3 linked regions of the Tamandua tetradactyla genome follow. The protein of the gene in region 3 interacts with the protein of the main gene of each other region in a pairwise test. Links are inferred from orthologs where the notes say so. Each region holds a gene or a part of one and is shown on either strand. Other genes may lie near its edges. The genes, in order: EAF1, PKN1 and HOMER3.

Evidence for each region.
Region 1: the proteins of HOMER3 (region 3) and EAF1 interact in binary tests that used the Homo sapiens proteins (3 or more experiments, as listed by UniProt). The two-hybrid records come from large-scale screens. The link is inferred for Tamandua tetradactyla from reciprocal best matches to the Homo sapiens genes HOMER3 and EAF1.
Region 2: the proteins of HOMER3 (region 3) and PKN1 interact in binary tests that used the Homo sapiens proteins (3 or more experiments, as listed by UniProt). The two-hybrid records come from large-scale screens. The link is inferred for Tamandua tetradactyla from reciprocal best matches to the Homo sapiens genes HOMER3 and PKN1.

Annotation. Positions count from the first base shown.
Region 1 is NC_135341.1:73,240,998-73,244,743, reverse strand, and holds the start of EAF1 (ELL-associated factor 1), read left to right. Parts: upstream 1-1,031; 5' UTR 1,032-1,183; coding exon 1,184-1,286; intron 1,287-3,165; coding exon 3,166-3,260; intron 3,261-3,746. UniProt on the Homo sapiens protein: Acts as a transcriptional transactivator of ELL and ELL2 elongation activities.
Region 2 is NC_135337.1:88,510,028-88,513,773, reverse strand, and holds the start of PKN1 (serine/threonine-protein kinase N1), read left to right. Parts: upstream 1-861; 5' UTR 862-916; coding exon 917-955; intron 956-1,551; coding exon 1,552-1,855; intron 1,856-3,070; coding exon 3,071-3,222; intron 3,223-3,746. UniProt on the Homo sapiens protein: PKC-related serine/threonine-protein kinase involved in various processes such as regulation of the intermediate filaments of the actin cytoskeleton, cell migration, tumor cell invasion and transcription regulation.
Region 3 is NC_135337.1:95,888,155-95,891,900, forward strand, and holds the start of HOMER3 (homer protein homolog 3), read left to right. Parts: upstream 1-1,481; 5' UTR 1,482-3,746. UniProt on the Homo sapiens protein: Postsynaptic density scaffolding protein. Binds and cross-links cytoplasmic regions of GRM1, GRM5, ITPR1, DNM3, RYR1, RYR2, SHANK1 and SHANK3.

The sequences.
Region 1 (3,746 bases), on a different chromosome or scaffold from region 3:
CCAGGGACTTCTAAAGAAAAAAGAATGCGAGTCTAGCTAATGATTCTAGAACAGTTCTTTAAGATGCTGCAACCAATTCATCAAACATTTACTAGATGCTCATTCTACAGAAAACTCTGCTACGAAAGGTCACAAAGAAGACCAAGATATACTTCTTGCCCTCAAACGGCTTACCATCCAGTGGCCAGGCCTGGCTTATGCACCGAACTCTAATTCAAGACAAAATGAGTCAATTTTTACAATAAATTTATATAGTTGTGAAAAAGGACACTCTCAAGATCTGAATACAAAACCTTGGGGGAAAATGCTCATCAATTTTCAGGGCCTGTGAAGGGAATAACTTAACAACAACGAAAGCTGAACAGGAGGCGGTGGTGGGTTGCCAGATAGAAGTAGGATCATCGTTTCCCAAGGTCTGCAGGATCAAGACTCCGTTTTGCTCGGTGACATCGAGATAAGCCCGGGTGGTCCGAGTCTCTAAGTCTCAGATCCCACTCACACGAGACTGTCGTACGAACCAGAGGGGGCGTCGTTTTTCAGAAACTGAAGCTCCCACACCCCTTCACGGCACGAAGGGGAAGAAGATACCCAGTTATGCGTAGCAGAGGGTCCTGAGTACACAGGTCTCCCAGGACATTCTGAATGAACTGAGCCCACTTGCGGACATCTAGGGCTGCAGAGAGCTGGCCATGTTAGCTATCCGACCCGGACTAATTTAGTCGTGCGCTCTAGGCCCACCCTCAGCATTTCTAGGTTCATCTGTTGACCCAGGGCCTGACACACTCACCCCTCAGCCAGCACCAGCGCTCGGAGGCGAACTTTAGGAGCCGCCACAGGAAAACCCGAGCTGGGTCAAGACAGACTTGCGGACCTCGATTTGGGATTCTAAGGCCGGAGTTATTTCGCCATGAAACCTCGCCCGCTACATCCGCCGCGAACCCTTAAGTCCCTCCCCGACACCGGAAATCCCTCAGTCTCGCTTCGTCCGAGTCTCCCCCTACCCCGACGCAGAGGCGGAAACTTCGTTCCAGTCACCGGTGGGGTCCGGCTCGGCTGTCGGTGCGCCCCGGAGCGGTGTTCAGTGAGCACCGCTCTCCCGGACCCCGGCGCCGGAAGCTCGCGCAGCTTTCCCAGCTCCCGCGCCTGGAGAGCGCCGAGCCGGGCGCACCGCCCGTACGGGGCCATGAACGGGACCGCGAACCCGCTGCTGGACCGCGAGGAGCACTGCCTACGGCTCGGGGAGAGCTTCGAAAAGCGACCGCGGGCCTCGTTCCACACCATTCGCTGTAAGTCAGTGTTTCCCAGGGTTACCTAACTAGCCTCAGCACCCCCTCTGGCTTCGCTTGGCTTCCCGAACCTTAGGGAAGCCCCTGCCGACTCCCATCGGCAGCTCCCGATCACTCTTACTCTGAATCCTCCGAGATATCGTCTTCTTTCCTTTTCTCAGGTCACTCCTCCCAAACCGAAGCTTTTGTCACTCCCAACAATTTTTCTCTTGATAGAACCTATTTTTCGAAGGTCATTGGTCCCTCTTTCTTTGCATCCCACCACCCTAATTCTTTAGCCCAGACTCCCCCCCGCCTTTTTATTCCCGAAAGGCTGTGACCCCCTACATCAGACCCCAGTTCTTCTCTAATTCCATCCCGCCTCCCACTTCCTGATGCTTCCACCAGGGTTCTCCACGTTTGAAGGACTCTTCACATTTGTTTATAAGCCTCATCCGCTTCCTCGCACGCCGTTCTCGTCCCCCTTCCCCCCCCCCCCCCCAGCTTTCTTTCCTGGTTTGTCTTGGTTCTAGCGATCCTGGCACTGCTCATCCTCACTTCACCAGCCAGAGGATACTCCTGTCCGCCATCAGCGTCCTCCTCCAGCTTTTCGCACCTCGTTTGACTTTGCTGTCTTTTGAGGTCACCTCTGCTACCCTTACTGTTCCTCTAGACCTCCCCCCCCGCCGTGTGGATGAAGAATAAAATTAGAGTTTGTGAACCTGGGATAGGTTAAAGCTTGGTGGTGGGAAAGCAAAAGAGAGCATAGGCGTAAGAAATGTCAAAGTAGTCATTATGCTGGGCCTTTTTTCCCTACATGATTATAGACTCTGTTGAGGGAGAGGCATTTCCACTCTATATCCTTGGGTAGAGAATTAGCTGTTAGAAATTGGCTGACAGAGCGTCCTGCTGTGATTCACAAGCTCCTGGCTGCCCATCCTGGTAGTGCTAACACTTGTTAAGTCTTGTTTTTGTCAGAGGAACTAATAGATGTGACTCAACATGTAGGAAGAGGGCGGGTTAGATAATGAAGTTCCGTCTTTGTATGGTCACTTGCTATGCCATTACTGTGCTTTCTGAGAGCAGATATAGCTCTTTCCGAGGAGAGATATCAAGAATGTGACAAGGACATCAGTTCCTGAACACTACTTGGTTGATGTTTCTGTGGAGTGAGAAGGACAATGTGAAATTTAAATGAGACGATTTCCTTATGCACCTGGCCACGTTTGGGGCAGGATATACTAACAAGGTGCAAGATGGCTATTCATGTTATACTTTGCATTCCAGAAATATGGGCAGGGTAACCTTTGGAGATACAGTTCAGCCATCTGCTCTGAACATCTGTGGGAGTATGTTTGTCAAAGCTATGGAATTTAAGTATGGCAAGTCCTAATTTTGACAATTCCTCTGCAAGATGAAGTCTGCTTGTATGATGCTGTGGCCATTCATGTTTTCTGTTGGGCTTTGCAGGCAGAGTCTTTTTGCTCTATTGCCTTTGATCCTCATAACAACCCTAATAAAACATCTTACTGTGGATACTGCAGCATTAATTTCCATCTGTTACTTAGGTGAAGGGAATTTCTTTGCTTAATAAAGTGGCATTTAAATTCTAGTTTTTTTCAAAATAGTCCAGTGGGAATAGGAGGAAAAGTATGTAAAGGCATAGGTGAAAAATGATTGTCCCTTGTTGATAATTATTGAAGCTGGTACATGGAGTTCATTGTACTCTTCTCTTTATTTTTAAATTATGTGAAGTTTTCCATAATGAAATAATCCTAAATATGTTCTAAAGTATTTGTATTTGCCATTTATCTGAATAATAAAACATTTTAATTCTTAAATAAGATGCTCTGGAAGCCCTTGTTAGCTGATGGATAAATGCTTTTTCCTTTCCCTTTAGATGATTTTAAGCCAGCATCTATAGACACTTCCTGTGAAGGAGAGCTCCAAGTTGGCAAAGGAGATGAAGTCACAATTACGCTGCCACATATCCCTGTAAGTTTATTCTATTGTTGGTTTTTTTGTAGGCTCACAATGAATTATGTTATTGTAATTTAAGTTTCCTACTGCTTAAAATACTTTAGATTATTTAAGTGTCAACACAAGGAATACAGGAATTTGGGGAATAGATTAGAATTCTTGCTTCCCAAGTGCTTGATTAAAAGTGATTCTTTGCCATTTTCCCCAGAGCTCCTCCTCCACCCCCAATTTAGATGTCATTCCTAAAACCTAGCCACTGTTTTAGACATGCACAACTTTACCCAAGCACCTTTGTAGAGAAGAGCCCTTGGTGCCATGCTGATATACAGCAGCAGCAGTTCAGGGGTGCATGGTATCTAAGCCAGGAGTCATGGCAGTCAGCAGTGAGGCTTTCATCTTTCACATGTCTAGCAGGGGTTCAAGTGCAGTCTGCGAGTCTCAGGCAGGAGCCAGAGGTTCGAAGCATTCCTCTGGCTTTGGAATAAGGAAACCATTAAAAGC
Region 2 (3,746 bases), about 7.4 Mb from region 3:
GGCGGTCCCACCAGCCTTTCAGCTGTGGTTGGCAGCAGCGGGCCAGTCGGGGACGAAGCAGGAAGTCAGGGCAGCCTCAGCCTGCAGGAAGGGGGCCTGGTCTCTGTAGCACTCGCTGTCCTGACCCCAAAGGGGAAGTCAGGGACAAGGGGCGGGCAGAAGCATCTGGCTGTAGGGACACACGCAGGTATCAGCAGAGCTGAAGGCCCGTGGGAGCATGGGGAGGCCATGGGGGCCTCGGAGAGCGTGTGGGTATGTGTGTGTGTGTAGTGTGTGTGTGGCACCCACGTGGGCAGGTGGGAACGTGTATTGTACAAAGTTTGGGGGGGCATGTAAATATTCTCAGGCACATGCATAGAAGTATACACATGCGTGGGCGAGGGAATGTGCACACACCTGAAATCATTGTCCCATATGCATATCTATAGCTGTGGGAGTGTGCACACTTGTGGAAGTGAGAGTGTGCACACATGCCTGAGTTTGCGTTCCTTGCACACACCTGTAGATTCAGGAGTGTACACACATAAGTGAATCTGTATTCCGTGTGCACACCCATAGATGGGAGAGTGTACATGCACTTGTGAGTCTGCGTTCACGTGCGTGAGCTTGTGTTTTGTGTACTTGTCTACTGGTACGTGAGAACAGGCAGCCACCCAAGCCTTGGGAGCATGTGCATGCTCACGGATGCCTATTTGTCACATACATGCCAGTGGCATGGGAGCATACCCACCAGGGTGCCTCGGGGAAGCAGGCTTGTCCTGGAGGAGGGGTTATAAGGAAGGTCCCCGAGATGCCCTGGTGCCCGGGCTGGCCGTGGGGGCTGCCGGGAGCTGGCAGGAAAGAGGAAGTGGCGGGCGAGAGGCCCCGGCAGGGCGGAGGCTCAGGAAGAGGGCGGGGCCCTCACCTCGGACCCGGGATGGCGGAGGCTGAACCCCCTTCCCACCAAGAGCTGGAGGTGGGGCTGGGGTCCCTGTGGGGACTAGCGGGACAGGACTGGGTGGGTGGGAGACGGGCTCTGGCCGCCATACGTCCAAGTTTTGGACAGAGGAGAGGAGATAAGACGGGGGCTGCAGAGTCTTCATTTTGGAGGAAGAAGAGATTTGGGGATCTTTGGGACTCCCCCAGTGGGGAGACGTGGGAGGAAGGAGATCTACTCTGTTCTTTAGGGTCCTAATTGTAGAGGTCGGGGGAGCTGGGGGGGAAGCAGGGCCTGCTCTCAGCACCTACTAGTTTTGGGGGGACAGAGAGGGGGCACAGGGCCTACCCTTAGCGTCTCCTAGTTTGGGGAGACAGCTGAGGGGAGATAGACCTGCCCTAGGCCCCTGCTCCTTTGGGGGCTCAGCACTGGGGTGCTGGAGCCTCCCTCTGGAGTCCACTGCCTGAAGGACAGACAAAAGGAAGCAGTGCTGTCTCTGGGGGGTCCTCTAGTCTGGGGGGCCAGGGCCTTGCCAGTTTTGGGGTCTCTGAAGAGCAGGTCAGGCTCTTGTTTTTGGGAGTCCTGATGTGGGGGGAACCTTCCTGGCTCCTCTGACCCTGCCCTGTCACCTGCAGAGTGAGCCGCGCAGCTGGTCCCTGCTGGAGCAGCTGGGCCTGGCGGGTGCGGACCTGGCGGCCCCCGGGGTGCAGCAGCAGCTGGAGCTAGAGCGGGAGCGGCTACGGCGGGAGATACGCAAGGAGCTGAAGCTGAAGGAAGGCGCGGAGAACCTGCGTCGCGCCACCACCGACCTGGGCCGCAGCCTGGGGCCCGTGGAGGTGCTGCTGCGTGGCTCATCACGCCGCCTCGAGCTGCTGCACCAGCAGCTGCAGGAGCTACATGCCCACGTGGTGCTGCCCGACCCTGTGGCCACCGCCCATGGTGAGCTAGGAGGCCCGGGGGGCGTGGGGCACGCATGCCACCTCCACCGCTGGGCCCGGGCGTACAGTACCAGCTGCTGAGAGACATGCACCACCAACTGTACACATGCAGTCACACCAACAGGCAGACATGCACCCCCAGCTGTGCATATGCAGTCATACCAACAGGCAGATATGCACCGACAGGCAGACACGCACCACTAGCTGTATACACAGTCACACCAACAGGCAGACATGCACCCCCAGCTGTACACATGCAGTCACACCAGCAGGCAGACACGCACCCCCAGCTGTATATGCAGTCCCACCAACAGGCAGACACACACCCCCAGCTGTACACATGCAGTCCCACCAACAGGCAGCCATGCACCCCCAGCTATCCACAGAGTCACACAACAGCAAGAGACACAGTATCGACTGCTGACCTCCAGAGAGATATACGTGGTCACACCCACTCCCAGACATGTACCACTGGCTACATACACACAGTCGCACCAACAGGCAGACATGCACCACTGGCTACATACACGCAGTCATATCAACACCCAGACAGGCAACACTGGCTCCAAAGACCCCAAAGGGACACGTGGTCTTGGCAACACCAAGTCTTTTAATACAGTCATAGCAAACACTGCAATCTGCAGTCACACCAATACCCTGAGACTCACCCACAGTCAATACCAACACCCAGAAAATGCCAGAAGACTCTCTCACAGTCCCACCAACACCTGGACAGCACCCAGAGACACACATGCCCAGCTGTACCAACACCCAAAGATTCCCACGCAGACTCACACAGCACCCAGGGGTCCCAGTTCGTAGCTGTATGAATGGAAACGTATGCATAGGGCCACCTCAGTACCTGGCATCTCACGATCGTTCCATCACCTGACATCTCCCAGTTACACACATAGCAGGCGGGAGACACACAGACCTCCTCACACCCACAGTCACTCACACTCAGTTGCATTAACCTCTAAGGACTCAGACACCTGAATAAATAGTTGGGGATTCCCACACATGCTTGCACCAATGTCCAGGAACTTACACCACCTGCCTGTGCTCACTTATGTTGGGTCATGCCACTGAAGAGGGGTGGGGGGATATTCCTGGGGTGGCTGGGGGTGGCTAGAAGTTTCTGGGCCCGGGTGTCCCCTACCGGCCTGTCCGCTGGTGCTGGGGGCCATAGTGACGTGCTCTTTCCCGCCCCCTCCAGATGCACCCCAGTCCCCCGGAGCGTGTGGCTCGGCCTGCTCGGCCACCAATCTGAGCCGTGTGGCTGGCCTGGAGAAGCAGCTGGCCATCGAGCTGAAGGTGAAGCAGGGGGCCGAAAACATGATCCAGACGTACAGCAACGGCAGCACCAAGGTGGGGGCCATGCATGCACATACGCACCCACCCACACGTACGTGTACAATCTTACACACACATTCCATACATAGGTGTGCACTCACCCTACATGCACACATATACCTGTACACATTTACCTGTGTGTGCACACATGCCCCCTATTAACATACTTCCTACACACACACACCTGTATGCATACTTGGAGACAGGATCGGGATGCAGGTAGCTCCTAGGGGCATATGAGGAGTGTGTTTGTGTTGGGGGGGCGGGGGGGTGATGTCAGAAGGACCATCACGGAGATTTTTCGTTGTGGTAAAAGGCACATCGTAACACAGGCCATCGCCCCTCCCCCACCTCTCATCTTGCCCCTTTGGTGGGCCCTGGACAGGGTCCTAGAGGAAGCCCAGTGGCCGTCATGCACACACTGGTGTCAGATGTCTGGCCCAGGCTCTGTGGTGGTGACCTGAGGAACTTGCTGTCCCAGAGCTTGTCCTGCCCATGCAAAGGGCTCCCAGAGCTCCCCAGGGAAAGCCATCACGTGG
Region 3 (3,746 bases):
CTACCATCTTCTTGAGCTCCTTTATGTCATTTGCTGTCCCACTTATTTTATTTATTAGGGAGAGTTGTGTGAGCATCCTTGGTTAGTTGTTGCAGCCTCTGCATCTCCTCTGGTGTTTCACTTTGGTCATCAGATGGGGCTGCATCTGTCTGCACTGTGATATGCTTGGTGGTCTTTGGCTGTCCCCGTTGCATGTAGATGTCTTGACTGATATACTCTGGGGGTTGATTTTTCAGGAGTCTAAGGCCCTGTGTGTGCAGGACAGCTGCACAGCAGGGAGCAGGGCGCAGGTGGCGCCCTCAGTGCAGGGATCTGTTTCAGGGAAGGTGTGGGAGCAGGCTGGGGACGTTACACCAATGCCTGTGAACACGGCGCCCAGCACCCAGGAAGGATGGAGCTGGGCGGGTGCCCGGGTCTGGGGGCATAACCCTGGTGGGCGCGGGTCCCCTTGTGCGCATGCGGAGAGCTGCAGCCGCAGGTCAGGCCTTCATGGATTGGGGGCAGCTGTGACCCGCTGGACAGGTCGGCCCTTTCTCAAGAGTTGTGTGAGGCGGAGTGCCGTGCGCATGCGCGGTTCTAGGCCTGTGTACCGTGTGTCTCCCAGAAATGAGTGACGTGATGCGGGCTGTGCGCATGTGCAATTGTAGGACCCGCGTAGAGTGCGGTTCCCGGAGCTGTGACGTGAAGCGGCCCGTGCGCATGCGCGGGTCTGGGAGCGCCGCGAACGGCCGCGCCAAGCTCAGGGTGGGTGAATGAGGCTGGAACTCTGTGGGGGGTGGGGGGTGGGGGGGGGGGGGCCTAGGTGGGGGTCAGAGCCCAGCCTTTATGCGCTGGCGTCAGCCTGCAGCGCACAAGGAGGGGAGGGAGGGGAGGCAGGGTCGGAGGGTGCAGGAGAGACTGGCTGGGCTGCGCTGGGGGTGGTGGGGTGGAGGCGCCTGGAGCACGGGGAATGGGGGCGGGTGAGGGGGTGCGGGTGCGTGGGGGGTGGGGGGTGGTCCCGGGTCTGTGCCGGTGAGGGTGGCGCCCAGGGAACGCGGCCCGGCCGACCTCCTGGTCCTGGCTCCCGTGCGGCCCCTCCCGCGGCTCCGTGCCGGCCCGGCCTCCTGCCCCCCAGCCCCCCGGCCTCCTGCCCCCCAGCCCCCCGGCCTCCTACCCCCCAGCCCCCCGGCCTCCTGCCCCCCCAGCCCCCCGGCCTCCTGCCCTCCAGCCCCCTGGCCTCCTGCCCCCCAGCCCCCCGGCCTCCTGCCCCCCCAGCCCCCCGTCCTCCTGCCCCCCAGCCCCCCGGCTTCCTGCCCCCCCAAGCCCCCCGGCCTCCTGCCCTCCAGCCCCCCGGCCTCCTGCCCCCCAGCCCCCCGGCCTCCTGCCCCCCCAAGCCCCCCGGCCTCCTGCCCTCCAGCCCCCCGGCCTCCTGCCCCCCCAGCCCCTCGGCCTCCTGCCCCCCCAGCCCCTCGGCCTCCGCAGCCAGGGCTGCCGCCCCAGGGCAGCCGCCCTCTGGAATTGCCACCTCAGTCATCCTTCTGTCCCTTCTCGACCTTTTCCCTGGAGCAGGGCTGACCTTGAGCCACTCTAGTGGGCCATGCTCCCATTTATTCACCTATCATTTTACTTCTCTAGCGTGGCTCCCTGACATGGAACGTGGTGTCCTGTTTTGTTTTCCCGCACACACGCGTGTGAACGAACGGGTTCTCTCCCTACAGCGGCTCGTCAGGAGGCATCCTCAGTTCCGGGACTGTGCAGGGATGCATCCATGCTGTCTTCTGGGGCCCTCCTGGGCGGCAGGAGGTAGAGACTGGATCTTAGAAAGGAGGGCTGCCCGGCACCCAGCTTTCCCCCATTGCCCGGAGACTGGGGCCGCTTGGCCAGGGTGGTGGTACTTGAGCTGAGGCGCAGGGGGCCTGGCCATGGGCTCAGGTTGGGGCAGAGCAGCCTGTGCAAAGGCCCTGAAGTGGGGTGGCTTCTCCCATGCGGGGGTGCTCAGGAAAGCCGGTATTGCTGGGCAGGGGAACAAGGGGAGTGAGCAGGCTGCCGAGGGCTGCAGAGCTCACGGCAGGAACCCCAAAGCTTGGGTACTACATGTCCATGGGTGGGGGTATGTGTGGATGGGGGGGGTGCATGGTAGGGGTGGGTGGATGATGGCTGGCTGAGTGGAAGAGTGGGTGGATGTGTGAATAGGGGGGAGGGCGGATTATTGGATGGACAGATGGGTGGATGGGTGGGGGGTGAGTTGGGTGGACCAAGGAGCCAGGGAGTGACAAGGTGGGGTTTGTTCCTCAACCCCAGTACCCCCTAACTCCTCCTCTGCTGGCCCCCCAGAGAGGCCCGTCCAGAACTCCCAGCGGGGGCAGCTTCGGCACTGTCTGTCACAGCCCCCTCCCCAGTCGAGCCTCCCCCGAGGGCTGCCCAGGGCCTGTGCCCCCTACTTGGTGGCACCCCTGTTCCACAGCCAGGGTCTCCTGTGGCATAGGGACCCCCAGGAGCTGGGCGCCCCTTGGAGGAAGGCGTGGGGGCACAGTGAGGGCGCCTACCTGTCTCAGGGGCCATCCCTGGCTCAGCTCTGGGAGCCCCCCAGGAAGACGGGGTGGCCCACTGCTCCCCAAGCCCTGCACATTGGCTCGTACCCCACCCCGTTCCTCCCCCTCTAGGCCTGGTGCCTGGTTTGGGGTCACGTGCCCAATTGCCCAGGCCCCCTGAGAAAGACCAGGGCCCCCACACCCCTGAACAGGGTTTGAGAGGACCTACAGCTCCTCCTCTCCCCAGCTTGCTCCTTACCAGTGGAGGGCACCTCCAGAATGATAGGGACACCCCAAGAGCTCGGCCCAGGCTGGAAATGGAAGCTGGGGGATCCCCAGGTCATGAGGACGGGCTGGCCTTCCCCTTTCTGGCCTCCCTCCCCTTGGTCCCCTTTTCTTTAGGGTTTTGCTATAACACAGAATTGAAGAGCTCTGGGGAGCAGGGACCTCAGTTCCTGGAATTCTGCCAGCCTAGGTTCTGGGTTCCTCAAGATTTAGCAGGGATGCACAGGCCCCAGGCTGAGCCCACCCACGCAGTACCCTGCACTCCTTCTCTGGTGGTGGGCCCTCTGCTCCTGCCCCACCCCCAGCCTCGTTTTCCCCCCCAGGCCCAGGCCTGGCTGAAGCTCCCAGTCAAGTTTAGCAGGGGACCCTGCATCTCCCGTCGCCAAGCCATGGTCCTGGGCCTGAGCAGGGGTCTGTCAGCTGCCGGGAACCTCCTGGCGGAGCGCAAAGCAGTAGGATTTGAACCCAGGCCCTCCCCCCGGGCGTTTCCCCACACGTACGGCGCCTGAGGACTTCCTCCTCCCCCTTCCCTCGGGGCCCCTCCCTGGCGCTGGGGGCCTGTGATTTCCCTGGAAGCAGCTGTTTCCGTCCCACGCCAGGCTTGGAATTTCAGAGATAAAGGAGCAGGGCCCAGGGCCTCCGAGGGGAGGAAGGGCGGGGGGTGGAGGCCCGGGGGTGGGAGCCAGAGCTCAGGGCCCAGCGGAAGGACGATGTACCTTGCATGGAGCGTCTGAGCCAGCCCAGCTTTCACAGCCTCTGCAAAAAACCCAGGTTGGCGCCAAATCACACGCAGCAGCCAGAGACTCACCTCCAAGTGCCAACTCAGATCATGCCCCTGCCCTGCTCAGACGCCTCCTGTGGCTCCCCAGTTCTCTGAGCACACACCCCTCGCTGGGTCCAGCTCCCAGAGCCCCTCACCCTTGACTCTCCCTGCTCCGGCTGCTCGGGCCT